Coturnix japonica: one gene and its partners. The protein of the gene in region 5 interacts with the protein of the main gene of each other region in a pairwise test. Links are inferred from orthologs where the notes say so. Each region holds a gene or a part of one and is shown on either strand. Other genes may lie near its edges.

The links.
Region 1: the proteins of RINT1 (region 5) and FAM110A interact in binary tests that used the Homo sapiens proteins (3 or more experiments, as listed by UniProt). The two-hybrid records come from large-scale screens. The link is inferred for Coturnix japonica from reciprocal best matches to the Homo sapiens genes RINT1 and FAM110A.
Region 2: the proteins of RINT1 (region 5) and CWF19L2 interact in binary tests that used the Homo sapiens proteins (3 or more experiments, as listed by UniProt). The two-hybrid records come from large-scale screens. The link is inferred for Coturnix japonica from reciprocal best matches to the Homo sapiens genes RINT1 and CWF19L2.
Region 3: the proteins of RINT1 (region 5) and SGF29 interact in binary tests that used the Homo sapiens proteins (3 or more experiments, as listed by UniProt). The two-hybrid records come from large-scale screens. The link is inferred for Coturnix japonica from reciprocal best matches to the Homo sapiens genes RINT1 and SGF29.
Region 4: the proteins of RINT1 (region 5) and RBM41 interact in binary tests that used the Homo sapiens proteins (3 or more experiments, as listed by UniProt). The two-hybrid records come from large-scale screens. The link is inferred for Coturnix japonica from reciprocal best matches to the Homo sapiens genes RINT1 and RBM41.
Region 6: the proteins of RINT1 (region 5) and EPC1 interact in binary tests that used the Homo sapiens proteins (3 or more experiments, as listed by UniProt). The two-hybrid records come from large-scale screens. The link is inferred for Coturnix japonica from reciprocal best matches to the Homo sapiens genes RINT1 and EPC1.
Region 7: the proteins of RINT1 (region 5) and FAM81B interact in binary tests that used the Homo sapiens proteins (3 or more experiments, as listed by UniProt). The two-hybrid records come from large-scale screens. The link is inferred for Coturnix japonica from reciprocal best matches to the Homo sapiens genes RINT1 and FAM81B.

The regions. Positions count from the first base shown.
Region 1 is NC_029535.1:9,125,469-9,129,606, reverse strand, and holds the start of FAM110A (protein FAM110A), read right to left. Parts: upstream 2,801-4,138; 5' UTR 2,714-2,800; intron 2,623-2,713; exon of another isoform or gene 1-2,622. Other genes in the region: SLC52A3 (solute carrier family 52, riboflavin transporter, member 3), read left to right, coding at 3,625-4,138.
Region 2 is NC_029516.1:161,582,775-161,586,274, reverse strand, and holds part of CWF19L2 (CWF19-like protein 2), read right to left. Parts: intron 2,769-3,500; coding exon 2,556-2,768; intron 1,946-2,555; coding exon 1,829-1,945; intron 1-1,828.
Region 3 is NC_029530.1:7,882,920-7,886,845, forward strand, and holds the start of SGF29 (SAGA-associated factor 29), read right to left. Parts: upstream 2,801-3,926; 5' UTR 2,745-2,800; coding exon 2,670-2,744; intron 2,476-2,669; coding exon 2,400-2,475; intron 2,191-2,399; coding exon 2,118-2,190; intron 1,879-2,117; coding exon 1,814-1,878; intron 1,635-1,813; coding exon 1,505-1,634; intron 1,107-1,504; coding exon 960-1,106; intron 721-959; coding exon 685-720; intron 266-684; coding exon 103-265; intron 16-102; coding exon 1-15. Other genes in the region: melanotransferrin-like, read right to left, coding at 3,219-3,259, 3,918-3,926. UniProt on the Homo sapiens protein: Chromatin reader component of some histone acetyltransferase (HAT) SAGA-type complexes like the TFTC-HAT, ATAC or STAGA complexes.
Region 4 is NC_029519.1:1,848,402-1,852,380, forward strand, and holds the start of RBM41 (RNA-binding protein 41), read right to left. Parts: upstream 2,801-3,979; 5' UTR 2,554-2,800; coding exon 2,546-2,553; intron 2,477-2,545; coding exon 2,360-2,476; intron 2,278-2,359; coding exon 2,088-2,277; intron 1,968-2,087; coding exon 1,763-1,967; intron 1,607-1,762; coding exon 1,245-1,606; intron 1,022-1,244; coding exon 877-1,021; intron 691-876; coding exon 533-690; 3' UTR 1-532. Other genes in the region: NUP62CL (nucleoporin-62 C-terminal-like protein), read right to left, coding at 3,020-3,111. UniProt on the Homo sapiens protein: May bind RNA.
Region 5 is NC_029516.1:12,593,500-12,596,999, reverse strand, and holds part of RINT1 (RAD50-interacting protein 1), read right to left. Parts: intron 3,327-3,500; coding exon 3,170-3,326; intron 2,446-3,169; coding exon 2,335-2,445; intron 2,134-2,334; coding exon 1,908-2,133; intron 38-1,907; coding exon 1-37. UniProt on the Homo sapiens protein: Involved in regulation of membrane traffic between the Golgi and the endoplasmic reticulum (ER); the function is proposed to depend on its association in the NRZ complex which is believed to play a role in SNARE assembly at the ER.
Region 6 is NC_029517.1:12,811,081-12,814,580, forward strand, and holds part of EPC1 (enhancer of polycomb homolog 1), read left to right. Parts: intron 1-2,984; coding exon 2,985-3,144; intron 3,145-3,500. UniProt on the Homo sapiens protein: Component of the NuA4 histone acetyltransferase (HAT) complex, a multiprotein complex involved in transcriptional activation of select genes principally by acetylation of nucleosomal histones H4 and H2A.
Region 7 is NC_029547.1:51,192,829-51,196,328, forward strand, and holds part of FAM81B (protein FAM81B), read right to left. Parts: intron 186-3,500; coding exon 56-185; intron 1-55.

The DNA of each region.
Region 1 (4,138 bases), on a different chromosome or scaffold from region 5:
CACCCAGACAATGCTGCAGATAGCTTTGGAGCTGGGAAATGCCTCTGCCCTGACCCAGGACAGCCACTGCCCACTCGCTGCCTCAGTTTCCCTGATGCTGAATGGCTGTTGTGGGGCACAGGGAGCTCCTTAGAGACCACAAGGATGATTGAGGGGTGCTCTCACGGGCACAGCCTCACCTCATGCCCACTGTTTGGATGCTGCCCATGACCATCCCTCCATGTATATCCCTCCATGCGCATCCTTGCATACAGCAGCCTTGCTCAGGGCCAGAGCTGCACTGATCCCGGGTGCAGGGGATCCAACAGATGGGGACGTGCCGGGTGTGAGGGCTTTGTCTGAGCAGCAGCGGCTGCACTCGGACCCGCAGATGGTGGAAGGGCGGCTGTGCTGGGGCCAGGGCCGTGGCCGCAGCCATGCGAGCGCAGTGCCCTGGGGATGCGGCCCCTTTTGTTGGGCTCTCACCTCTGGCAGAGGCCCCTTCCCCAGGCGCCCCTCGCCAGCTTTCAACTTTCAACTTGACCTGCTCCATTCACATGGAAATGGGATGCAAATGGTGATGGGGAGCTGTGAGGAGGAGGAGAATGGAAGGGGAGGAAGGGGCCACGGGCAGCGACCCGCTGTTGGTCCCCACTTTCTGGCTGGGCTCCCCAGCCTGTATGACAGGGCCCCCTCCAGTGGGACAGCTGGGGTCCCACTGGTGGGTTGTGCTCCTTACTGGTGATCCTCATTATGAGAAGGGCCTGCGGAATGAGGGATGGAGCCCCGCTCTCATCACCTGCATCTCCCCACCCAAGAGGATCTGCTGCATCCTCACCCACGCTGGACATGGCCTTGCATTTGGGGACACGGGAGGGGGTGGTTCCTGGTGGGCCTTTCTCCTGCCTGATCCCAGCACAGTCCCATGGCCCGGGACCGCTCGTTGACCAAATGTTGCCATCTGCCTTGGGGCCTTTGCTCGCATCTGCCGGGGTGCAGAGGGGCCGGGGCTCAGCTGCCGTGCGGTGCAGCACGGGGTGGGGGGCAGCCCCCCCTGCACGGCAGGCAGCACGTGTCAGCTGGGCTGGGGCAAGAAGCGTGCAGCAGCACTCAGTCCTGTGCCCATCAACCCTTTGTGCCCCCCGGCCCCTGTGCCACAGCCAATTAGTCCTGGTTTCGGGCTCCTTTGTGCTGCAGGATGAACAAGGCACAGCCGCTGTCCCCTTGCTGCCCCCATCCCCATGGGGAGCAAGAGGCTCAGCTGTATCAGCCCCCGGTGCCTCCTAGCAACACAGGGCACTCAGATGCAGAAACACCACCGCTCCTGGTGCATGGGCTGGCTGCAGGGCACAGGCAGGGCAATAAGGGACAGGCAGGGCATTGCACGAGGCAGCACATCGCAGCCCGCTCTCCCAGCGACACCCAGTGGGTGCTGGGGGAAGAGCTGCTGATGGGGAAACTGGGTGCTGGGATGAGACCACGCCAGGCTGTGCTGCAACAAGGCCCAGCTGGATCTGCCCTCTGCAGCCCCTCCCAGCATCACACCTGCCAGCTCAAGGCACGGTTGGGTGCTTGGTCACATCCCACCGTGCACCCTGTGTTGGCTGAGCAGAGCTGGAGGAGTGTATGTGCACAATGCACACCTGCAGGAACAGCCACATCTCAGCCACATTCAGTGCTCCCAAGGCACACAGCCCTGCAGCCATCCATCCCACACAGCACTGCACGCTGACATTTGCACCCTCAAGGTGCAGCCTGATATAGGTGGCACACAGATCTTTTGAGGACAAGGGCAAAGTCCGTGTGTCACAGCCAGGAATAAATGCCGGCACTCGGCCAAGACAGGGTGTGCAGGTTTAGCAACAGCACTGCACAGAGCACCTGGCATTGCAGCCAGGCAGCAGCAGGCTGGGGCTGACCCTGCTGGTACGTGGGGACAGGAGGGGCTGGGCTGGGCTGGGCTGGGGGGTGAGGGGGGGACTTTGTGCACTAGGGCTGAGTTTGGGGTGTTGGGGTCCCAGCCAGCACCTGGGGCTGAGGTGGGGGGTGTGGGGGGGACTATAGGACCCTGTATCTCTGCTCCTGGGTGTGTTGGGGAGGGGAGCAGGAATGGGGTGGGAGGGGGGTGGGTTCCCGAGCCCCTCCAGCTGTTCCTTATGGAATGGGATCACAATGGGATGGCTGCAGTCACTCTGCCCCCAGCCATGCACAATGATATGGGAATCCCTTAGGAAGAAGACCCCCCCCCACCCCTCCAAAACCCACAGCCCGTTCATTGTTATTGTCATTATGACTCTATCTCATCCCACCCCACTCCAACAGCTCCATATAACACAAATACCCCCCCCCCCAACAACGACCTGCCGGGACCCCCCAGCGGCACGGCACGAGGTCACGTGACCCCTCCCGGTTCCCCCCGCCCCGGTGTTTTGGGGGGGGCGGTCACGTGTCCGTGTGACGTCACGGCCCGGTATCCCGGTCCGGCGGTACCGCGTGTCCGCCCCGCTCAGCGCAGTGAGTTCCGGACCGGGAGCTGCCCCGCCGCTCAGCCCGGCTCCGACCCGGTTCCTGTTTCCTCCCTCCTCCCTTTCCGCTCCGTAATAACAACCACTCCGCACACCTCCCTCCGCCATGAGGTCATATAAAGGCCGGCTCCGGCCCCATAAGCGCTGCCTTCCTCGGGTCACCCACCCCGCAGCCCGTCCCCGTTTATCCCTTACCCCCATCCCCTTACCCCCATCCGCGGGGCCGTGCGGGTCCCCCCTGCTCTGGGCTCGGGGCGGGCAGTGGCGGTGCGGGGCTGAGTCAGCCCGCAGGTATGAGCCGGGCTTTGTTCGCAGGTGGAGCCGCGGGACCTTCCTGCCCCACCGGCCCGGAGCTGGGCTGCAGTCAGCGGGAGGACAACAGCGGCTGGGAGCTGCCTGCGGATGCGGAGGGAAGGGAGAGACCAAGGGTACCGGGAGAGAGGCTGCATAGGAATCACAGCCCACAGGTGAGAGGCAACAGTGGCTGTGCCGAGCCATGCTGGGCCATGCTGAGCTGGGCTGGGCCATGCTGTGCTGTGCCGAGCCATGCCGAGCCATGCTGAGCTGGGCTGGGCCATGCTGGGCCATGCTGTGCTGTGCCAAGCCATGCTGGGCCATGCTGAGCTATTCTGTGCCCTGCTGTGCTGTACTGGGCCATGCTTTGCCCTGCTGTGCCCTGCTGTGCTATGCTGTGCTGTGCTGGACCATGCTAGACCATACTAAGCCATGCCATGCTGTGCCAGGCTATGCTAGGCCTTTTCATGTCCTGCCAGGCTGTACTAGTCCATGCTATGGCTGTGTTAGGCCATACAGGCAGTGCCGTGCTAAGCTTGCTCAGCTCTAGCACATTACTCCGTTCCAGTCTCTGTGCCCAAGCAGGGTGGGTGCCTCAGGCAGAGCAGGGCACCTTGTGGGGCACTGAGGGGTCCCCGTGGTGGCATAAGGCCTCATGCTGCTTGCTAGGCTATGCCACTCTGCCCATCCTCAGTGCTGCAGGAGAAGCAGCTGGGGCTGCCTGTAGGAGAGGGGATGTAGGCAGCATTTGTGGGGGCTTGGGGTACAGAGCTCCACCTCTGAATGAAGCTTCTCCCCACAGCACGGCGGCAGCCAGCCCTGAGCCATGGCGCTGCTCACTCACCTTCTCGCCTGTGTCTTTGGCACGGGCTCCTGGGTGGCCATCAACGGGCTGTGGGTCGAGCTGCCACTGCTGGTGAGTGTGCTGCCGGAGCAGTGGGACCTGCCCTCCTACATCACCATCATCATCCAGATGGCCAACATTGGGCCGCTCTTCGTCACCCTCATGCACCGCTTCTGGCCTGGCTCGTTGAAGGAGGTGGTCGTGATCTATGTGGTTGTGTCTGTGGGCATCGTGGCCTGCTTGCTGCTGGCCTTCCTCTGGGACTACACATCCCCCATCGCAGGGACCACTCACAGCACTGCATTCCTGATCCTCACCTTCTTCTTGTCCTTGGTTGACTGCACTTCCTCTGTCACCTTCCTGCCCTTCATGATGCAGCTGCAGGCCCAATACCTCACCACCTTCTTCATAGGTGAAGGACTCAGCGGGTTGATCCCTGCTCTCATTGCCTTGGGCCAGGGCTCCGGCATCTCCAGCTGTGCCAATGTCAGCCAGG
Region 2 (3,500 bases), about 150 Mb from region 5:
AATGAGTATAGTCTATGGGGCCAGATGGCGTGCATCCCAGGGTCCTGAAGGAGCTGGCTGAGGTGAGTTGCTGAGCCGCTCTCCATCCATATTTGAGAAGTCGTGGCTGTCAGGGTGAGGTCCCGGATGATTGGAGGAAGAGGTCACGTCACTCCCATTTACAAGAAAGGAGCAGGGACGACCCGGGTAACTACAGGCCGGTGAGTCTCACCCTCGTGTGCCTGGGAAGATTATGGAACAGGATCCTCCTGGACAACATGCTTGATCGCATAAAGAACAAGCATGTGATCCGAGACAGCCACCAATGGCTTCTCCAGGGGAAGGTCATGCTTAACTAATCTTGTGGCCTTCTATGATGGAGTACGGCAGTTGGTGGTTGAAGGGAAGGCGAACCGATGTCATTTACCTGGACCTGAGCAAGGCCTTTGACATGGTCCCCCATCACATCCTCATCTCCAAATTGGAGGGAGGTGGATTTGATGGGTGGACAACTAGATGGATAAAGCAATTGGTTTGAAGGCCGCAGGACAGAAGGGTGGTGGTCAATGCCTCTATGTCAGGTGGAGGCCGGTAACGAGCGCGTCCCTCAAGGGTCTGTTCTTGGGACCGGTGCTCTTTAACATCTTATTAATGACATCGATTGAGGGAATGGAGTGCACCCTCAGCAAGTTTGCTGACGACACCAAGCTGAGTGGTGCAGTCGATACGGTGGAGGGAACAGATGCCATTTCAGAGGGACCTTGACAGGCTGGAAAGCTGGGCTTCGGGTGAACCTAATAGGGTTCAATCACGGCAAAGTGCAAGGTTTTGCACTTTGGGCCGGAAGAACCCCAGGCACCTGTACAGGCTGGGGGAGTTGTCCTTGAGAGCAGCTCGGCTGAAAAAGACCTAGGGTCCTGAATAGATGAGAAACTTAACATGAGCCAGCAGTGCGCTCTGGCAGCCCGGAAAGCCAAATGGGATCCTGGGCTCCATCAGGAGAGGGTGGTCAGCAGGGATAGGAGGTGATTGTCCCTCTCTACTCTGCTCTTGTGAGGCCCCATCTGGAGTACTGTGTCCAGGTTTGGAGCCCTCAGTACAAAAAGATATGGAGATTTTTGGAAAGGGTCCAGAGGAGGGCGACAAAGATGATCAGGGGGCTGGAGCACCTCCCCTATGAGGACAGGCTGAGGAGTTGGGTTTGCTCAGCCTGGAGAAGAGAAGGTTGCGGGGTGACCTCATTGCAGCCTTTCAAGTACCTGAAGGGAACTTACTCCCAGGAGGGAGTAAACTCTTCAAAAGGGCTGATATACAGCAGGACTAGGGGAAATGGTTTTAAGTTGAAGGAGGGAAGATTTAGTTGGATGTTAGGGGAAAAGTTCTTTACTAGAAGGGTGGTTAGGTCCTGGAACAGGCTGCCCAGTGAGGTTGTGGATGCCCCGTCCTTGGAGGTGGTCAAGACCAGGTTGGACGGGCCCTTGGGCAACCTGATCTAGTAAATGTGTATGTTTGGTGGCCCTGCTAGGCAGGGGGGTTGGAACTACATGATCCTTGAGGTCCCTTCCAACCCGGGCAATTCTGTGATTCTGTGATTCTGTGAAAGCAGTGATCTTGATGGAACAAGATTTCAGGACATACGAGTTCTTCTTGGCAGGGCTGCTCTCAATAAGTTCTACTCACAGTCTGAACTCATATCTGGGATTGCCTTGACCCACATGCAACACCTTACACTTTGCCTTGTTAAATCTCATTAGATTCTCATGTACCTACTTTTCAAGCGTGTACCGTGTCATTCAAAACAATATTATTTTACAAAGCTGTTGGAACATGAGACAGTTTCTTATCTGACCTGGATTTCTTCCCAGATTTCTTCATCCAAAAGAGTGGCTGCAGTATGGTGTTGTAAAGGAGCTATCAGGCAGTGACCTTCAATTAAGGACTGGTTGCTTGGCAGAGACAAGTATACCTATGAAGAGTGAACAAAAACTGAAGTGCCTATTATTCTAGTGTTTAAAATATTCTCATCGCTAAGTTGAAGAAATACGTCATCTGCTACAGTTCAAACCAATAGAAGACATTATCTTCTACTTACAGCAAAGTATTTACAGCAAGGGCTGCTATAAATCCAAATATTTATACATATTTTAAAAGAATTAACAAAATGAGGATGGTTTGGTTTTGTTTATTCCAAAGGATTTTAAGCTTAAGAATGAAATCCTCCACTTGGGTTTCTTTGAAATCACTGAGATACAGATCTTTATCAGTTCAAATTTCCTCCAGTGTAGTATGACTTAGCCTTCCACAAATCCACCTACAGTATTTACTTAGATCTTTCATTATTGCTTTATGTTTTCCACAAATCAGAAGTTCTGATATCAAAGACTAGCTTTGCAGTTCACAACAGATTCATATCTTTTTCTCCCTAATCTTTGAGGAATTCTTGAAATCAACTGGAAGGGCAGGGAGTATAAGAGGCAGAATAATCAAATAAAGAAGCAACTGTGCTCTTTAACTCAATCACTCCACTATTCTTTCTTTTTTACATTTAATTTTGTGCTAAATCGCTATTTTCTTACCTTGGTACCAATTGCAATAATAAGATGTTTAGAAAGTTCACCGCTATCAAAACAGTAAGGACACTTTTCCATGCGTGCAGCAAGCTGCTGGTGCTCATGTATTGCTCTTCTTCTTTGTGTTTCTTCTTCTTCCCCAAGGCGTGCTTTTTTTGCTGCTTGGGAAACAAACATATCATCCAGAGTGTAGTAGTCTCTGTCAGTTTTCTCCATAAGCTGAAAAGACAGACAAAAAAAAATTGCATTTAAATATAAATAAGTTAGGAAAAAAGCATACTTTGCTCTTTGTAATATCCTTTACTACAAAAAGGATAAAGTGTGTAGCAGAAGCAGCACTACTCTTTTCCATACGGCATCTGCAAACCATACTATTATCAGACACATCTCCTGAGAGCAATCATGCCCTGTTTCAGACAGCTCAGGTATTAAAGTACAGATGTTTAACAACAGGAAGAGGAGTATATCACTATATTCCATCACAAGTTAAGAGCTAGTCACAAGTACCTTGGCAAAACTCCAACTTAAAATAGATGTACTATCTTCATTTAATCATGTACTATCATACATTCTATTTCAATCTTTCCCCTCCTCTTCCTTTCCTACTACAACTACCACTGCCCACTAAATCATGCACTGTAAAATAGCTAGGCTGTGAATCTATGCCTCATCTTCATGCTCTGTGAAAACATGCCAACACTCTTCTCAGGTGAACAACTCTAAGCCACTCTTTGAAGATGTCATCTTTGTTTTCAGTACTTTCTCTTTCTTGAATGAATCTGTTCCTGGATAGGGATAACCAACACAACTAAATGTACAGAAAAAAAGGCTGAATAATTCCTTTTTTCTTTTGTTTTTTGTTTTGTTTTGTCTGTTCGATATTTGTTACATTTCAGGTAGGATCCGTTTATTTAAAAGAAAGCTCAGAAAATTAGAAGAAAATACCTGAAA
Region 3 (3,926 bases), on a different chromosome or scaffold from region 5:
GTAGTCATCCTGCGGCTGTGTGCGGGGCAGAAAACAGCATCAGTAATGAGTGAGAGCTGGGGGCACGGCAGGGCCCATCTCCAGGGCAAAATGTGGCCGTACCCGCTGCGGGGGTGCATGGATGAGGGCACGGTAGAAGCAGGTGGTCTGTGGGTAAAGTGCCAGCACCAGCTGCTCGCGCTGGAACAGCGCTTCGGGGTCGGTCTCAGGGTTGGCCTTCCACTGTGGCAGAGGGATCACACGGCGCCGGCTGAGCGTGTGTCTCCTGCAGAAGGGAGGAGCAAGCAATGGGTACGGGCTGGGGATGGGGGAGATGAGGGGTGTGGAGAGCAGGTTTGGGGGCAGGGGTTGAGAAGGGCTTTGTGGTGTGGCGGGTATGGGGAGGGAGTTCGGGAGGAGCTAGAGGGGTCTGGGGGGGTGCGCCGAGGGGATCTGGGAAGATTTGGTGAGAGCAAGAAGAGTTCTGTGGAGAACTGGGAGCGTGGGGGACATGGGGAGGGGGGCTGTGGGGAGTTGGGGTGTTCTGTGGGGTTTGAGGAGGTTTGGAGGGAGTTAGGAAGAGTTAGGGGGTGATAAGGAGGGAGTTGGAGGGATTGGGAGGGCTTGGAGAGGAGGCTGGGGGCTGCCTGAGAGCGGGGGCAGCTGTGGGGTTAGAGAGGGCAGTTGTGGAGTGGGGGTGCTCACTCTTTGCCCTCCTCATCGATGTCGTCCACTTCATACCTGGGGTGGGGAGAAGCGAGAAAGGAGAAAGGACTGAACTACAGCAAAACAAGGGGAAATGCTGCGATCCCAGAGCACACCACGGCCCCACAAGCAACAAGTGCAGTGCTCCACACCATGCCCCACACCCCCAAAGTGCCCAAACTGCCCCCCCGGCCCCACTCAAACCCCCCCCAACACACACATATTCCTGCTCCCCTCCACACCCAACCTGCCGCCCCCTTGCCCCCTCCACGCACTTGTTGGCAGCATGGCTGTAGCTGACCACCTCCGCCAGGATCCACTGCTCATCGCCGTCCACGGCCTTGACACGTGCCGCCACTTTGTCCCCAGGCTTGGCCACGTAGTCCCCAGCTGCCGGCATGGCACCGCACAGTGGGGGGGGCCTGAGAATGAGGTGGGGGTGGGTTGGTGGGTGGGAGTTAGAGGGTGAGGCTGGGCTGGGGTTTGGGGTTCTGCAGTGCAGTCAGGGGGGTGTTGGCAATCCACAACAGGGGTCAGGGAACAGGGCCTGGGGTTTGATGGGGGGAGAGGGGAGGAAGGGTGAGGGCACGGTCAGGATGGGGTCTGGATGGGGTTGGGTTTCCCAGGGTGGGGCTGAGATTTGCTATGGATCCAAATGTCAGGCATGGGGTTAGGGCCGTGCTTTGGAATCTGAGTCCAGAACCAGAACTCCAGTGGAACTGGGAGCTCAGGGCACAATGTGGGGTATGATGGAGTGTGGGTCTGGGAGTTTAGGGCACCCTGTGGGGAAGAGTGCACTTGTGGGGTCGGGAATACCTACTTGTCACCTGGCTTGCCGATCCAGAGCGGCAGCGTCATGGCTGACTGCTGCAGCAGTGTCATCAGCACGCCACGACGCATCGTCTTGCGCGGCGGCTCCGCGTCACTGTAGATCCCTGCGATCTTGGCAGCTGTGACACAGTGGGGGGGTGGACACAGTGACACCAAGATTGGGAGGGCAGTTGTGGGGGGGGGCATACAGAGGGAGATTTGGGCGTAATTCCAGGGATTTGGGGTGTAAAAATAGAAAAAGAGAGGTCAGGGACACGTGGGGGTCAGGGACACTTGGGGGCTCAATGGAGGCACGTACCAATGCGGCGCTCTTCCAGCAGAGACTTGATCTCAGCGATCTTGTCCAGCGCCTTGCGCAGGATGCTGCAGAGCCATAAGGGCAGCTGTCATGTATGGGGGGCACGGGGCAGGGTGTAGGGTTGGTGGGGTGCAGGGTTGGTGGGGGTGTAGGGTTGGTGGGCTGTAGGGTTGGTGGGGTGTAAGGTTGGTAAGGGTGTAAGGTTGGTAAGGGTGTAGGGTTGGTAAGGGTGTAGGGTTGGTAAGGGTGTAGGGTTGGTAAGGGTGTAGGGTATGGGGATGTGGGTATGAAGGGGCCGCCCTACTTGCACTCGGCCTCAGCATCTGCCTTGGCGGTGGTGTACAGCCCGCGCAGCTTCGTGCGGTAATACGGCGAGACTGGAGGGGGGAGGTAAGAACGCTGTGAAACCAAGTCCCCATCGAACACGCTGTCCCCAAACCCCGCCCCGTTCCCGAGCCCGGCCCCAAAGCTGCCCCTGCCCAACACTCCTCTCTGAACCCCTTCCCCTCCCCATTGCCCTGCTCTCCTCCCAGCCCTGCCCCCTCATCCCCCTTCACGCCGCCCCTCGGCCCGGCCCCGCTCTCACTCTTATTCTCGGTCTGCATCCTCTCGTGCGTCTTCTGGATGTTGATGAGGTTGTGCTCGCTGCGGGACCGCTCCTCCTGCAATGCAGCGGGATGACGGGGGCTGCCCGCACCACCACCCCACCTCCAGCCCCACAGCCCAAATCCGGACCCGTGCGACAAAGCGCCGCCCCGAACCAGCACCCTACAGCCCCGCACCGCCCCCAGAGCGGCCCGATGGTGTCGGTGCGGCAGAGCAGCGCCCCGCTCGCTCTGTGCGTCCAGCCCCGCACCTGCGTGTGCCCCAGCAGCCGCTGCAGCTCGGACAGCAGCTCCGCGATCCGCGAGTCGGCCGACACCAGCGCCATGGCCGCACCGACGGGCCGCGGGGCGCTCTGCGCATGCGTCAGGCGACACAGAGCACTGTGCGTCAGCCCGCACATCGCACTGCGCATGCGTCCCGGTGCAGTTCCGCGCTTTGGCCACACGGAGGCAGCACCGACGTAAGAAACGAGTTCGGCGCTGAACGGAGCCGGTCACGGCAGCGCTGCGCCCCAATGAAGGGATGGGTCAGATCGACCCCAATGAAGGGATGGTACAGATCGACCCCAATGAAGGGATGGTACAGATCGACCCCTGCTGCAAACGGGAACGGCACGACACGGGAGCAGTATTACATGACCATAAACAACATCTACTTGCTGCAGAAAACAAAGGTTATGATAAAAGATAATCAGCATACATGGCCGGGGGTGACGGTTTCCTTGCAGACAGGCAGGACTAGACTGATTTCCTTGTTCTCACATTGGTGGCGGCTCTTGCCTTGCAAAGCAGCTGTCAGATCAATGAGCACAGGTGTCCTGTCTGCAGAAGTCCAAGATGCCTGCAAACCAATAGGAGAACATGGCCTTAAAGATGTGATCGGCCCTGAAAGTTGCTGCTGTTCACTACAACACAACAGTGCTGGTATTCCCTTGTTGACTTTCAGTCCTCTAACAGCTATTAAACTTCCTAATCCATTGTGCAAGCTGCAGCTACTTCAGCACAGATCCCCAGGGCCCCTAACAAGCTCAGCCCTGACTGATAAGCAGTTTCATTTAGTTTTAGTCAGAACTAAATACAAAATAGCTTTCAGTATATAGTAGTGAACAAACTCTCATTTAAGTACAATGAGATCTTTAACTCTGGTGTAGTTTTTAGTGCAGTCTTCTATCAGAAACAGAGTTATTTCCCCTAACCCTGACATACCCAGACCTCTGGGATAGGAAGAACAAGTTTCTGAGTGGAAGACAATTCCACTTCAATAACTTTATATTTGCTCTGACCTGCATTGGTTGTATCATCCCCACAGACCCCCATTTGCAGTGCTTACAGATAGGAGCTGCAAGAGTTCTCAACACTCCAGATATTACACTCCACTAACAAGGTTATGTAGAAATTACCTCTGAAGTTGGCATAAACCAGAGGGCCGTGCCTGTGCACACAAAACTTCCCTCTGCTTTGCATTTTTCTCTAATTCAGAATGAAGAATTTGACTTTACCTGCAGGTG
Region 4 (3,979 bases), on a different chromosome or scaffold from region 5:
TTTGCTGGACACAGAGCTCCTGTGCTGAACAGTGGCTGCAGCTCAGCCAGTGAGAGCAGACAACCTCCAGTATATCAGAGCCCCAGCAACTTCTGCACCCAAAGCACCACCTTAAGGCAAACGATGCTGATGCTTTAAAACATTCAAGTGTGAAAAATGATGCTTCCTTGCACACGAGTCCCTTTTCTCTCAAAGGAGCACACTGACGTGCAAATAAAGATCCAGAAATACACGATATCAGCACATCTGTTCACACAGCTTCCCCTCTTCCTCGCCACAAGGGGTTGATAACACAGACAGGTGGAGCACCCCAACGGCAGTGTGAGAACAGTGCATGAGGAGCACCCAGCACCAGCCCCCCTGAAGAGCCTCATGTACCAGCAGCACAGAGGAGAGCTGTGCTTCCTCAGCACCTTGAGGCTGCGGTCAGCCCTCACCCTGCCCTGCAGCTGCACAGAGCTGCACTCAGCTCCCACCAGTCCTCAGCAAGGCCAGCTCAGGGCCTGTTCAAGTCCACGAGCTCCTCCAGCCCTTACGTGGCAGCAGGCGGTGCTCCAGCAGAGCAGGAGGGAGCAGCAGCCTCAGCCTCTGTTGATGGCACTTTGCTTTTCCCAAATTCAATCACCATGGGCTTCCCATGCAGTTTGTACCCGTTCACCAACAGCATCGCGTCCTGAGCTGACTGAACATCTGCAAGGAGAGAGCAGAATGGTTCTCAATGCACACCGTGACGCAGCGCTGCAGCCCCCAGCCCAAGAAAGCAGCATGCAGGAAACCCAGCAGCACGTTTGGATGAGTCCTCCCCCAGCACACAGAAAATGTGAGCAGAGATGAAGGGGAGATAGGAGGAAGGGCCAGGCAGGAGGCTGAGCTCACCAGGGAAGGTGATGAAGGCCTGGCCCCGCATGCGGCCGCTCAGCAGGCGGAACTGGATGGGTGTGCTGTCCTGCTGGAACCGGGCAAACAGCGACACCAGGTCCTGCATGGTCACACGAGGGGCCAAGTTCTTCACATACAGCACCTGTTGTGGAGGCACTGGGGTCAGCCGGCCTGTGCCCGGCTAACGGGTGTACATAAACCCACTGCCAGCCCTTACACCTCACATATAGGAGCCAGCTCAGCTCTGCTACCAGCACGGAGTCCCCCACGCACGCAGGAGCTGGCACCTCCACGCAGCTGCCAGGCAGGAGCAAAGAGCCTTTCCTGGCTGGAAGATGGACAAAGCGTGGTTCATCTCCATGTACCTTGTTGGGCTCCCCAGGACGGTAGGAAGAAAAGCGAGGTATGTTGCGGAGCTCTTCCTCAGAGAGCCGGTTCCTGCAGATCTCCTCCTCTGGGATGAACTCCACAGGCTCCTTTATAGTCACAGGCCCTGGAGGGGGCTGCTGGAGCTTTGATGGAGGGCTGGGGCTCCCTGCCTGGCCTGGCTGGTCAGGAGGTGATGAGTCCTCATGGTCAGAGCCCTGCAGGGCTGGGGCAGGCAGGGAGCACACAGCACTCGTGCTTGGTTGGTCCCCTGCAGGCGGCTGCTTGCCCAGCACCTCTTGGTAAACGCTGTCCAGGTGACCCATGGGGTCCTTCTCATCTGTGACCCTTGGGGTGTCATCTAATCCACAACAGAGAGACACGGTGTGACGGTGCACTTGTCCCCCACCAGCAAAGGGGCCGCTCTGCACCTCAGGGCTCAACCCCATCCCTGCAGGTCGCAGTGGGATCCCTGCTCTGTTAAACAGCCCCAAGGGCAGAAGGGCTGGGAGCACACCTTGGTGGTACAGTGCCCGCAGGAAGGAATGCCGGTCCGTCCCCTGGAATAGAGCGTTCTCGATCTCCATCTCCCTCCTGCTCAGCTGTTTGCTGCCAGCAAACCTCTGCGGCAGCTGCAGGATGCGCTGCCTCTCGTCCATCTTCTGCTGGATGGCATCGAGTCGCTCCCGCACGGCTTCGGGGGCCGCCCCCAGCCCGGAGCGCTGCAACCAAGGGGCCGCCGTCAAACGGGCCCCGCCGCGTGGGGCGGCCGAGAGCCGAGAGGAGGCGGCTCCGCATCCGGCCGGTGTTTATGGGGCTGTCACACAGCGGAGCGGCCTCACCTTCCCCGCAGCGCGGTTCCTCCATAGCTCGATCTCGGGGTCGGACAGCCCCAGGTCCCGCAGCGCCGCGGTCTCTCTGTCGCTCTCCTGCAGCTCTCGGAACTGGGACAGGCTCAGAGCCCCGGCCGCCGCCTCCCCGAAGGGCCGGTAGAACGCGGCCGGAGCGAAGCACCTCCGCTTCGACTTACACCTGCACCGAGAGCGGAACGACCGCCGGGAGCTGAGCGGGGCTGCCGCACCATCAGCACCCCCATCCCCCGGCCGGGACCCACCGCTCGATGGAGGCGTTGGTGTCCAGCTGCTGCTGCAGGAGGCTCTTCAGCTGCCGCTCCCCCTCCGTCTCCAGCTCCTCCAGCAGCACCTCATCGCTGCACACGCTGCTGCTCACCCTGCTCGGCACGAAGCACCGCTCAGCGCTCGGCCCTGCAGCCCCCGCCCCCCCGGAGCCCCCCGCTCACCTCCGCATGGCCGCGGCCTCCAACCGGGATCCAACTCTCAGCAGCACCCGCGGCGATGGCGGCGGAGCGAGCGCCCCCTGGCGGCGGGGAGGACGAAGTGCCGCAGCGCTCGCACAGCGTTACAAGCGGGATGTTAGAGGCACAACTCATTAACCCCTCATTAAAGCCCACATGGCCGTGGTGGGAAGCTGAGGCTATCAGACTCCTCACATCTGTCAACCCTCTTCTGTAAGGACCCAGCTAACACGGAGCTGTGATTGCAAGTATCCAGCTTGCACAAAGTGCTGAGCCTGGGGCAGCAGTTGTGTGTGTGTGCAGCAGGAGGAGCCTCCACCGCCACAAAGAGTAACTTCAGCAAAAAGACATTTATTGCAATTAAAGAAGGAACATACACAAAACAAAAGATGCCGAGCAGGTCCCCGCCAACCTCTCCTCTATGGGGCTGTGAGGTAAGCGTTGTGAACTGGGAGTCCTTCAATCAAAGGTGATCCGAAAGCTGCGCTCCTGCTCCTTGCGGCGGCTCTCACAAACCTTGGTCACCTCCTCCACCTTCCTCTGCAGCAGAGCTGAGGGATGGGGAGAGAACAGGTCACACTCAGCCCCAGCCTGCGAGCAAACACCCGCCCGTTCCAACACAGACAGAATCCCAAGGCAGAGCCCTGCTGGCCTCACAGATGGCACTGCGCATCCCAGCACAGCTCTGCAGGCACTCAGTGCAGTTCCCAGGCACGGCAGCAGAGAGCAGAGCAAAGCCTGCACCAGAGCTGCAGCCCTGCAGAAAGCAGCCGCCTTCTGGAGGCATTTCCCTGCCCGCCTCACATCACACTCCAGCCGTTGGGAATTATGCAGCTTCCAGGTTAACCCATCTGGTGGGAGCGTTGTCCTGCAGGATAACAGCCACAACAAGCTTTGAACTGCAAGTATAGTAAAAAGTGCAACGAGACGGAGGAGCTACAGATGACTTCCAATCATATTATAGATGCGTGATGTCACTCTGTGGTTTGGAGATACTCCAGCTGAAGTTTTAATCCTGCAAAGCGTGCCAAACCCAGAACCTTCCAGTAACACATTAAGCAACACATTTGCTTGTCAGCTTGCAAAAAGCCACCGTGCAGAACCGGCATAAAACAGCAGCCTGATTCTGCTGCTCAACTCAGAGCTCTGCTGGAACAAAGAAACACTCCTGCTTCAATCAGGAGGAGAAAGCAGCTGGGAACAAGGCGTTATCCCAGCTCTGCTGCCAGGGAGGCCACCGTGGGGATGGAACATCAGCAGCGTGTGCTCAGCAAGTCTATTCGTGTCAGTGTAAGCAAAGCTGAACAAGCAGCATTCGTTTAACTGAAGTCCCCCCTGTTCCACTTAATGCTTGAACAAGTCAGACAAGTTAAGCACCACTTTGCACGCCTGTTCCTAGAACAGATCGTTATCACCCCG
Region 5 (3,500 bases):
TCTGATGAAAGCATAGAGTCCATTTTCTGAAGAGCAACTGAGATGCAAAAGAATTGTAAATGCTGTTAGTACTTAATAATAAAAGCAATTATCTAAAGCCCAAAAAACCATAAATATAAAAATCTTTATCTCCAATAAATTGAATTTAACGTCTTCATGTAAAGAAAAACTACCGATGACTTGATTTATATAGAACCAGCTGCAGTAACAGCACTACAGACACAAACAGAACATCAGGGTTGACTGTGGTTTCTGTTTTAAATGACTGGTTCCTTTCCAGTATATTTCCTCCCCATTTCCTCAAAAATTAATACCTTCCCTTCGTTTCAATTTCAAGTCAGTCTTTGCACAAATAAGCGTATAACACTATCTAAAAATAAACATACTAGATCCCTAGATTATATGTTAAATAACCATACTAGATTAGGGGCAATGGTCCTATAAACTTCAGGAGCAGTACTGCAGCCAAACCAATTTTTAGTCAAAATAACCACAGAATACTGGAGTATCACAGAATGGGTGGGGCTGGCAGGGACCTGGGTCTGTATGACCAAACTCCTGCTTAAGGAGGAGCACCTATAACAGGGTGACCAGGGCCATGTCCTCCACAGCAAACTAACAAAGATCGTGTCTCCTGTTAATAAGCTCCCTTTAACTACCAGAAGGCCACAATGGGGTCTCTACCTAGAGCTTTCTCATCAAGAGGCAAATCTCACTGGTGACAGGACAAGGGGAAATGGCCTGAAGTTGTGCCAAGGTAAGTTTAGGTTGGATGTTAGGAAGCACTTCTTTACAGAAAGGGTAGTTAAACACTGGAATAGGCTCCCAGGGAGATGGTTGAGTCACTGTCCCTGGATGTGTTTAAGAGCTGTTTGGATGTGGTGCTCAGGGATATGATTTAGCAGAGGGTTGTTAGGGTACTACAGTTAGGCTGTGGTTGGACTTAATGATCTTTGAGGCCTTCAACCTGAGTAATTCTATGATTCTCTTCTCCAGGCTGACAAATCCCAGCTGCCTCATCCTTTTCATAACAGAGATGCTAAAGTCCTCTAATCATCTTCATGGCCCTGTGGTCCCACTCTGATAACTCCACGTCATTGTTGTGCTGGAGGCCCCAGGCCTGGAAGCAGTACTCCACGTGGAGCCTCACAAGGGCAGAGTAGAGGGGAACGGAATGGTGATGAGATCTCCTGGAGCCTCCTCTTCTCCAGGCTGAGCAGCCCCAGCTCTCAGCCTCTCCTCACAGCAGAGGTGCTCCAGTCCCTTTATCATCTTGGTGGCCCTACACTGGGCTCTTTCCAGTATGTCCATGTCTCCCCACATAATGTTGGCGGGGGAAGAACTGGACACAGTACTGCTGCAGGAGTAGTGGTCTCACCAGTACTGAGCATAGAGGGAAGGAAGGATCATCTCTCTTGAACTGTTGGCAATACTTTGCCTAATGCAGGACACCATTAGCCTTCAGGACAGCAAGAGAACATTGCCGGCTCACGTTCAACTTAGTGTCCACCAGGGCTTCTACATCCCTTTCTGCAGAACAGCTTTCCAGCTGGGTGGCCTCCAGTATGTCCTTGTGCCAGCAGTTGTTTCTCGCCATAACCAGCCCACCTGGGCTCCAGCCTGTCCACAGCCCTCTGGGTAGCAGCACAGCCCTATGGAGAATCAGCCACTTCCCATAGTCCTGTATCATCTGCAAGTTTACCAAGGGTGCACTCCACCCAGTGTCCAGATCAGTACAGATGTTAAGCAGGACTGCACCAATGCTGACCCCTGGGCATTCTACTCACTGCTGACCTCAAAAACATGTCTTTTGTAGTTTAAGTGGCTCATCCTACCTGGGGAATTGATATATTGCCCAATCAGAATGAAAACATATACAGACCAACAAAATTCCTTCCAAGTCTTACATTTCTTTTCCACTGTCAGCCATCTCTGGAAGCAGGACTCTTCTGAGAGAATATGCATGCAACTGGGAAAGCTGCTGAGATAACCATGAACACTGAATAGCTCTCTCTCAAACAGAAGTACCTCATCCACAAGGTGACAAAAGAGAGTGTCGTCATATAACACAAATGGAATATCAGTAGCCAGCTTCTCCAAAATCAGCATTACCAGAGCACGAGAGAATTCAAGCTTTTAAAAGAGAAAAAAAAAAAAAAAAAGTGAATAGAAAAATCAGAGGTATAGACATGTATAAATATGTGCAAATGTATTTAACTTCTAAAACTGTTGCTGGACTGTGTTAAGTCTCACTGCACACTAAGATCAGCAGAAGAGTTGCTTGCACAAGCTGTGTAGGTACTTATACATACACAAAACCACTGAGGTGCTTACCCCAGCATTCACTGGCGATCCTGCCTTGTCCAATATTGGCTGGATTTTGTCATCAAGGAACTTGGCGTGATTTCCAATCCACATGAGCACTTGTGTCAAATACCACTCAGGCTTATTTAAAAAAGAAAATTAAATTAGTGAACTCACTAATATACATAACGCTATTAAAAATACGCTGTAGTAGCAACTGCCAGAGTGCAAATACACTTTGATTTGCCTAAGACTGTCAACACAAACACACAGATCTAATCTCTTACAAAAAGTGTCTCTCAAATCCTGCTGCAGAAGCATTACAGCAGTGCTAACGTTACACCTGTAAGAAACCTGCTTACATGACAGTTCTTGGATGAAAAGACTCAGCCTTTGGAGATAACTCATACAAAAAGCAAGTCAATTTCCAACTAGTAAACTGGACACATGGCAAATAGAATTATACCCATTATACACCAGCAGCAGGATCCAGTATTTTCAGTCACATGAACGTTGCAAAACACAACAACAAAAATCAAAGTCAGAGCCTTATACAGTCTTTGAGTTCAAGCAATACTGAACACTGCAAAACAATTTGTAAAGACAAAGACTAAATTAATCTATGCTTCTGAAATGATGGGAGCGAATGCAGGAATGATTTCAGAAAAACATTGCCTAGCCCAGAAAAGATGTTAGTCCTCTCAAAGGTCTCCAAGCACTGCCTTGATGCCTGTCCATACAGTACATACAAGTACCACGTATTTTAAGAAACTGAATTTCCAAAATGAAAGCATTAAAGCTACGTAATTTAATGCTGCTAAAAATAGTAGCAATAAAATTAAACTGTTTTTTTTTCTTTCCATACCTTGCTTAAAACATTGGTTGGTTTATTTCCAGTGAAATGGTAGCGGAATCTTTTCTGCAGAGGATTCAGCATGATCTGTATTGGGAGGATAACAGGTGGTGATGGAGGTAAGGAGTACTTTTCTGGCAGCTGTTTGGGTTTGGTTAACAGCTCATCTCTAAGTTTGACAGTCAAGGAGAAATGCTGAATTTCTCTGTAAGTATCATTTAAATACAATGGGTTTACAAAAACAAATACGTTTTAGCTCTACCTCACTGTCCGAAGGCACACAAGCTATAAAATGCCTCCAATTTGAACAATGCTCAAAACGTTTCAGTTTTATAAAATATTT
Region 6 (3,500 bases), on a different chromosome or scaffold from region 5:
TGATAAATGTTGTATCTTAAGAATTAATAGAATACTATGGAATAAAGGATGGTGTTCATATAAAATTTAGCTTTGGACGGATGCAAAGTACATTGTATCTTGCTATTTCCTAGTAATCTGAGGGAGGGTGGTTGTTTCAGTGGGCTTTCCTTGTAGATTTAAATTAGAAGGAAACCAGAGGGGTGGAAAAAGGAGGAAATAATTATTGAGCTTCTGTTTGTTTGAAGAACTAGCAGAGTAATGTGAGATGCTGTGGTGAGTGTTGGAGTTGTGACTGCCCAGGTGCCTTTCTGGACAGGAATCTGGAGGGTGCGGTTTTCCAGTCATGGGGGCTGCACAAGGCAAAGCTGTTGGCTCGGTACGTCTGTGTGTGTGCAGTCCTGCTGCAGCCCTTCTGCTTTGGAGCTGTCTGACCTCGTGGTGAGCCATGGCAGGGAGCACAGCTGAAGAGTGGTGGGCTGGGGGCTGTTTGCTTTGGTTGAGCTCTGAGTGTCCTCATACATGGATTGGATGAGCTTCATTGTTGGCTCAGAGTTAGAAGGAATGTGGTTTGAGGAAAGGGGCCACTGCTCTGAAAGCAGCGGATCAGATTTGGTGTCATAGCACAACTCCCAGGGCTGTATTTCCTTCGTGTCAGCTGGAGGAAGCAACTGAGGGAAGCTTTCCTGGATACGAGCCTAATGGGCTGAACATAGCTAGGGTACAAATGGAGGGCTTCACAGCCAGGGTAAGGCACCTTTGTGGTTACAATTTTCTACAAAGAAACAACAGTAGGGAAAAAAAAGTACATTTCAGTTACTACTTGTTAAACAGGGATGAGAGATTCATGGATGAGAGATTCAAGGGAAGCAAACAGGGAACAAACTGCTGGCTTACCTGTTGTGCAGTAGTTTGGTCTGGGTTGTACTAACAGGACAGAGCTGTGTCTGTCTGGTGTCGCTTTGATAAGAAGGATCAGTTGGCACAAGAACCTGCATGTGTGGAAACCGGGGAGTTGGAACAAATAATACATGAATGTGAAAGTGAAAGGCTTGGAACAAGGTGCTGAGCAGTGAGCTGTGAATGTGCCTTAAGAAGGGAATATTGTATTTGTACTAAGAGGAAGACTTGATTATGCTTGATGCTGAGCCGTTTAAAATGCATCAAGGGCAGCTGGCAGGTTTGATTCAGAACCGTGCTGGCAAACTGAGGTAACTGCTGCACTTTAAAGCAGAAGGCTCCAGTTTTAGATGAATGAAGTGCTGCATTTGAGTGGGAGGAATCAGCTGTGCATCCTCACAGTGGAGGATGAGTGCAGAACAGAAACTGGAAGCTGTGGTGGGCTGGCTGGCTGTAGTTTTTAACGTGGTTTTGTATTGTAAAATGAGCTTCCAGATTCCTATTCACACTCGATGTTTATCATGGGGAGGGAGGTGGCTGAGGCACCAGTTGAGTTGTTGAAGCGGGGTGCAGTGTCCCTGTTGGTAGTTCCTGCCCTAACATGGCGGTTTCGGTGGTAGGGAGGTTCTGGTGATAGTCTCTTGTGATGAAAAAATAAAGTAAGCCAAGAATTCACTTCAGGTGCGGCGTCTCCCCCAGGGCTGAGGTTTACCAAATGCTGTGTCCTGTGAGCTTTGTTTGTGGCTGTGTGATGCCATGTTCTCACAGTTCAGCTCTTCTCATAAGAGATGGCTGAGCAGGACAGATGTGGGTGAACTCTGCAGCGTGTTTTAGCTCATCGCTTCTTTCATACCACAGTGAATTCTTGCACCAGATCTATGCCTTGCAGCAGGATTTAGTTGGAGGCTGAGCTCTGTCTCTGCAGTTTATGGTAAAGCTGATTTTACAGTTTCTAATGTTGTTTTATTTGAAAGGTGATCATTGTATTGAAGAGGGGTAAACTGAAGTCTGGCAGAGGTGTTACAAGGTGATACAGCTGAACGCTGGTAGGTTCTTACTTCACCTGTGGAATCAGTTGCCCTCTCCCCCTGCCCTTCTGCTGTAGTTGCTGGTATCAGTATCTCAGTAGCATTATAGCATCCCACTGACAGAGCTGTATGGGCACGGCTGGTGCTGCATTGCCTTATGGCACCTGGGAAGGATCGTTTGAATGCAGACAGCAGCAAAGATGTTTTGCTGCAAGGGAAAGGGTGCAGTGTTACACTGTGGATGAGCTGCTCGTACCTGCGTGTGAAGGTTGTGTGTGTGTGTGTGCTTGGTGCTGCTAACTCTCACAGGCTGAGCTGCTGCTACCTGCTGTCCTGACAGACTGAAAGGAAAGATGGAATGCGTTTCAATAGCAGCATTAGTAGGTTCCAGTAGTTTGCAGCATTGCTGGCCTGTTACTCAGACTGCAGGAGCAGTTGCAAATGCAATTGACTTTTAAGCTTGAGAAAGTGCTGTTTTCTGACAGCTAATTATTCTCATTGTGATGGTTTATAGTTTTATATTAAGCACTGATGGGTTAGGAGGGGGAATAAGGAGAGTGATGTAAAGCATTGTGATAAACAAGAATCAGCCGTTTGGGTTAATGGGATAAGTAGTTGGTTTTCTTTATAATAGAATGTGCTGGCTGCCCTACTTCATGTTTCTCTGTCATTGCTGTCGATAAATTGCCATAGCGAATAACAGAAAAAACTGCTGTGAATGTGTCTGCAGCTCCTTGTTGCAGTCTGTGTGTCTCGTCCATCTGTAGTGTCTTTCCAGAAATACGAAGGATGGATTTATGGAAGGTGCTGTGCCAAGAACATGCAGCTTTGCTTAGGAACTGGAGTCTGCTGTGTTTATATAGGAGAGAGGGCTCCACCTACTGGAGACAGCTGTGAGTTGATAGAGCGTGTTTGGGATGAGCAGTTTGATAAGCAGGTCTCTTATGTCCGATCTCATGGTTTGGGATTTGGACCATTTGTGAGGAAGTAGACGTGTCGTGTGTCATGTTTTCAAGTCTGAGCTCTGAAAATGTACTTTGAGCTTTTGTTAATGTTGGCTTCCTTTTATTTTAATAGGAACATCATCTCCAACGGGCTATCTCAGCACAACAAGTATATGGAGAGAAGCGGGATAACATGGTTATACCAGTCCCAGAAGCAGAAAGTAATATTGCATACTATGAATCTATATATCCTGGAGAATTTAAAATGCCAAAGCAGCTGATTCACATACAGCGTAAGTAAAGTTGGAGTTCCCACCAGGAACTTTATTTTACCAGCACGTAGAGATTGATCTTAAATGCATTTTGAGCTCCTATCAAGTCTAGATTGTGAGAATTAATTGTCATATTAAGTTCTTGTTCAAGAAGTAGATAATGTCCTTCTATGTCTGTATGTTCATACTTCAGTTTTAGTAATTCCACTGAGTTACACGTGTGTCAGGGTGCTGTTGGTGCTGGAACATGGCAGCTGCTCTGCTTGGTGTGGACCCTGCCATGAGCACATTACATTGGACAACTTTCAAAAACATTATAAAAGTCATTTAAAACTGTCCCGTGGGGTAATTACCAGACCTTAAAAATTATCTTTTGT
Region 7 (3,500 bases), on a different chromosome or scaffold from region 5:
CACTCTACATGTGCATCATCATCACTCACTGGATATTGTGAATTTCTGTACTCACCATCTTCTCAAATCTGCCAACATGATTTTTGAGGGTAGAGCGGAGGCTGTAGATCTCCTTATCAATGTTCTGGACTTCATGCCTGATAACACGGATGTCTCCTGATAGCTGTGCAATACTTGACTCACATCTGCAACCAAACCAGAGATGAGAGAACTTTTGCATGGACACATATGAAGGTGGGGAAGTAGAAGGCACTCAGCATTCAACCAGCAGTCCCCTGAATTGCAGTGACAACACACATGGTGTCCATGCATTGCAAACTCCTAGTGGCTCCCAGCTGTTTGAGGTGACCTGAAAAAGTCCACAGCTCACCCTGCTGGGCCAGCTCCTCCTTGGTTTCCTGCTGTCTAATCTTAACGGTGAGCTAATTTAAATCTGAAACGCAGTTACACAATCATTCCAGCTGCCTGCAGTCTTTGGATGCCTACCCGGAGTGTAGGAGTGCCCAGACAGCAGCATCCTCTGGCTTGAAGCAGATGTGGAGGATAATCAGGTTTGGAATGGCAACAGGCAAAAAAGATGTGGTGTTTTATAGGAATAACTTGTCATTTTCTATTTAAACTCTATCAGCTGCATTCAGTAAAATATCTTGTCACATTTCAAACGAGCAAACAGATGATTTGAGAATGATGGCATTAATTGAATAATACTTAACCAGCTTACGTCCAGGTAATATATGCATCCAGTTTTTTCCTGTCTTTACCATACCTAAACACAATGTGTAATATATGTGTATGTAATTACATAAATACATCTACTTTTTTTCACAGGAGGAAGATGATTTGCTTTAGTGTATATGTAAATATTTGTATAACATCATAAAATCATCCAACATGAGCTAGAAGACAGAGACTTCTGCTCTGCACACCTCCCTGAGCAGTGAAGGATGACTGAAAGTCCCCTCTACACCTGCCCCCCCCCAGGAGAAACCACCTGCTCCCATCAAATGCACTTGTAACAAGACCAAGGAAACAAATATCCTAGCTTGTGTAGTTTGTGCACAGCACAAAGCACGGAACATTGAGTATACATAGTTGATTGGAAGTTGAAACAGATGAGTTTTAAAATGCCAGAGAAATTATCTTCTGAGGCACCACAGGTTAAAGCCAGTTCTGTTGTCAGACAAAGGAACTAAAGAGAGCCTGTGACAGTTTAAATAGACCATCCTTTTGTCATCTCTTGGTGATGCAGAAATATTGAGATTCACCTACAGAGCATTCATCTCAGGGAAATGAAAAATGTTTCTGCACATAATAGAGGCTTTGTATAAAGGCCAGAACATTGATCAAAAAATTTATATATATGTTATTCATCTGGAAAACAAATTACAAAATAGCTTGAAAGGCAAACACAGCTCTTGAGAGGGCAGGGAGAGTGAGGTGGTGCCTGCTGCACTACCTTTACCAGTTCAAAACTCCAGCACCAGCATGGAGCCGGCAAGGGATGGTGCTCTAGGGGCTGGGAGCCCCATGGGGACAGGGGACACCCAGCACTGTACTGGGCCAGAGGAACACATTTGTATGTAACAGCAATGAGTCTGTGGCAAAGATGGGGTTATGGGATTATAGAAACCTCTCCACAGCCAGAGCAGAGGGTAGCACATGTACCTACACACAATACTGGTGCTTTGTGCAGCATTGCATGATTGCAGCAGTCTGGCAGACTTAGACCTGAAAGAAATGGAGATACTTGAGACTTTTAATATCCTGCTCCAAATCAGTATTTGATGTAGGAGATGCTCAACAGATTGTGGTGAGATCATCGTTTTTCAGTCACATACACAGAAACTGAGAGTATGCGAGGAACAGCAGGATGGGTATGGAAAAGTGCAGGAAGGGTGCTGCCTTGTTAGATTTGCATATAAATTAAACAGCAAAAAGAAATAAAAGCTTCTAAGGATTGTACAGAAGGATTTAATTATAGGCAGGAATATAGCCGCCTCATATACATTCGAGGAACATTACCCTTTAAAGTCATGGAAAGAGCAGTATATTCAATAAAGAACTACTAAATTTGGCAAAGTTTGCATATTCTGAAAGGTGGAATAACTTCATGGGCATGCACCACTGGCTTTGGTAGTCCAGCACTACACTGGATTTCTCTTTTGAGAAACAAGGAAAAAAAATCTCAGGAAAAAAATTGTAATGCAATCATCATCTGTGTAAAGTGCAATGACTATTCAGTCTTCTACTTGGTGTGTCTGAAGAGATGAGTCAACATTTATGAGAAGTTTCATCTTACAGTTGATTACCTAAGTTTTATTACTCTAAAATATGATCCCAAACCCAAAGGAATTCTTGCTTCAATTTATTTTAAGAATTAGAACACAAATCTAAAAATACAGCTAATTTTATATGCTGCCTGCTGATGTTGAAGGTTGTTTTTGCTGTCACTGCTATTCGAAACACAAATGTTTACATGGTGTAGGTATGTGGTCAGAAGGTCCCAGAGTTAATGGATGGCCACGCCAGTATTCAACAAGAGTGCTCTGTCTTTCAGGGGAAGACAGAGTGACAGAAAAGAGAGACACAGACTGAATTACAAGAGCTAATCCACATTAATCCTTTTCATGTGGCAGAATACAGGAGGATGAATCATCTGCTCAGAGAAAGAGCAGTGTTCCATTAAAGCTTACTTCATCCCAAGTAATCTTCAGTTGAGGTCAGGCTGCGTGTTAGCAGCAAAACTTCCACTGCAAGTTTGTACTGGGAAGATTTCTAATCAGTCAAAACACACAAGTTGTATGAAACCCTGAGTTTGTCTCCAGCTACTCTGGGCTATACTTCCTTTACACAGCTTTGGGATGAGACTAAAGGTTGAAGGAACATGAGATGATCCTTCTGACCAGTTCTGGCTCACTTCAAAGCACCATGCTGGGGACAGTTTTGCCAGCGAGAGAAATGAGAAAGTGCTGAAGATTCATTAATCAAAAGAAAACTGTACTATGCTTCAGTGTGCACTGTCATGAGTGCAGGACCTCCATTATTGTGTGTGGATTTTCAGTGAGTAAATGGAAGTGGATCAGTATTTTTTTAACCCTTTGCATTTTCTTCTTCCATTTCCTTCTTTCCCCTGGTGTGTTTGCTTTCCTTTGCTGCAGGCCAATGCTCCATCATAGCAAATGGGAACAAGACCTACTGGAGCTAGCAAAAATGAGCAGCAGGCCTGGAGAAACACTGGGAAGAAGAAAGAGGACACATTGCTGACTGAACATCATGACTTTACTGAAAGCATATAATCTGAAAAGTCTGCCCAAATTTGAGAAGACCAAGGGAAAAATTAATTGCATGATCACATCCTGCTTTCTTTCAATGCTGATCAGGCAGAAGATTTAAAAAATGTATATTTCTCCTGCCAACTTTAAATGTACTACCTTCACCACCTAGTTTTGAATTTTTGGGCTTTGCTTTAGTAGTTTGGAGCCCTTCAGTACACTATGATT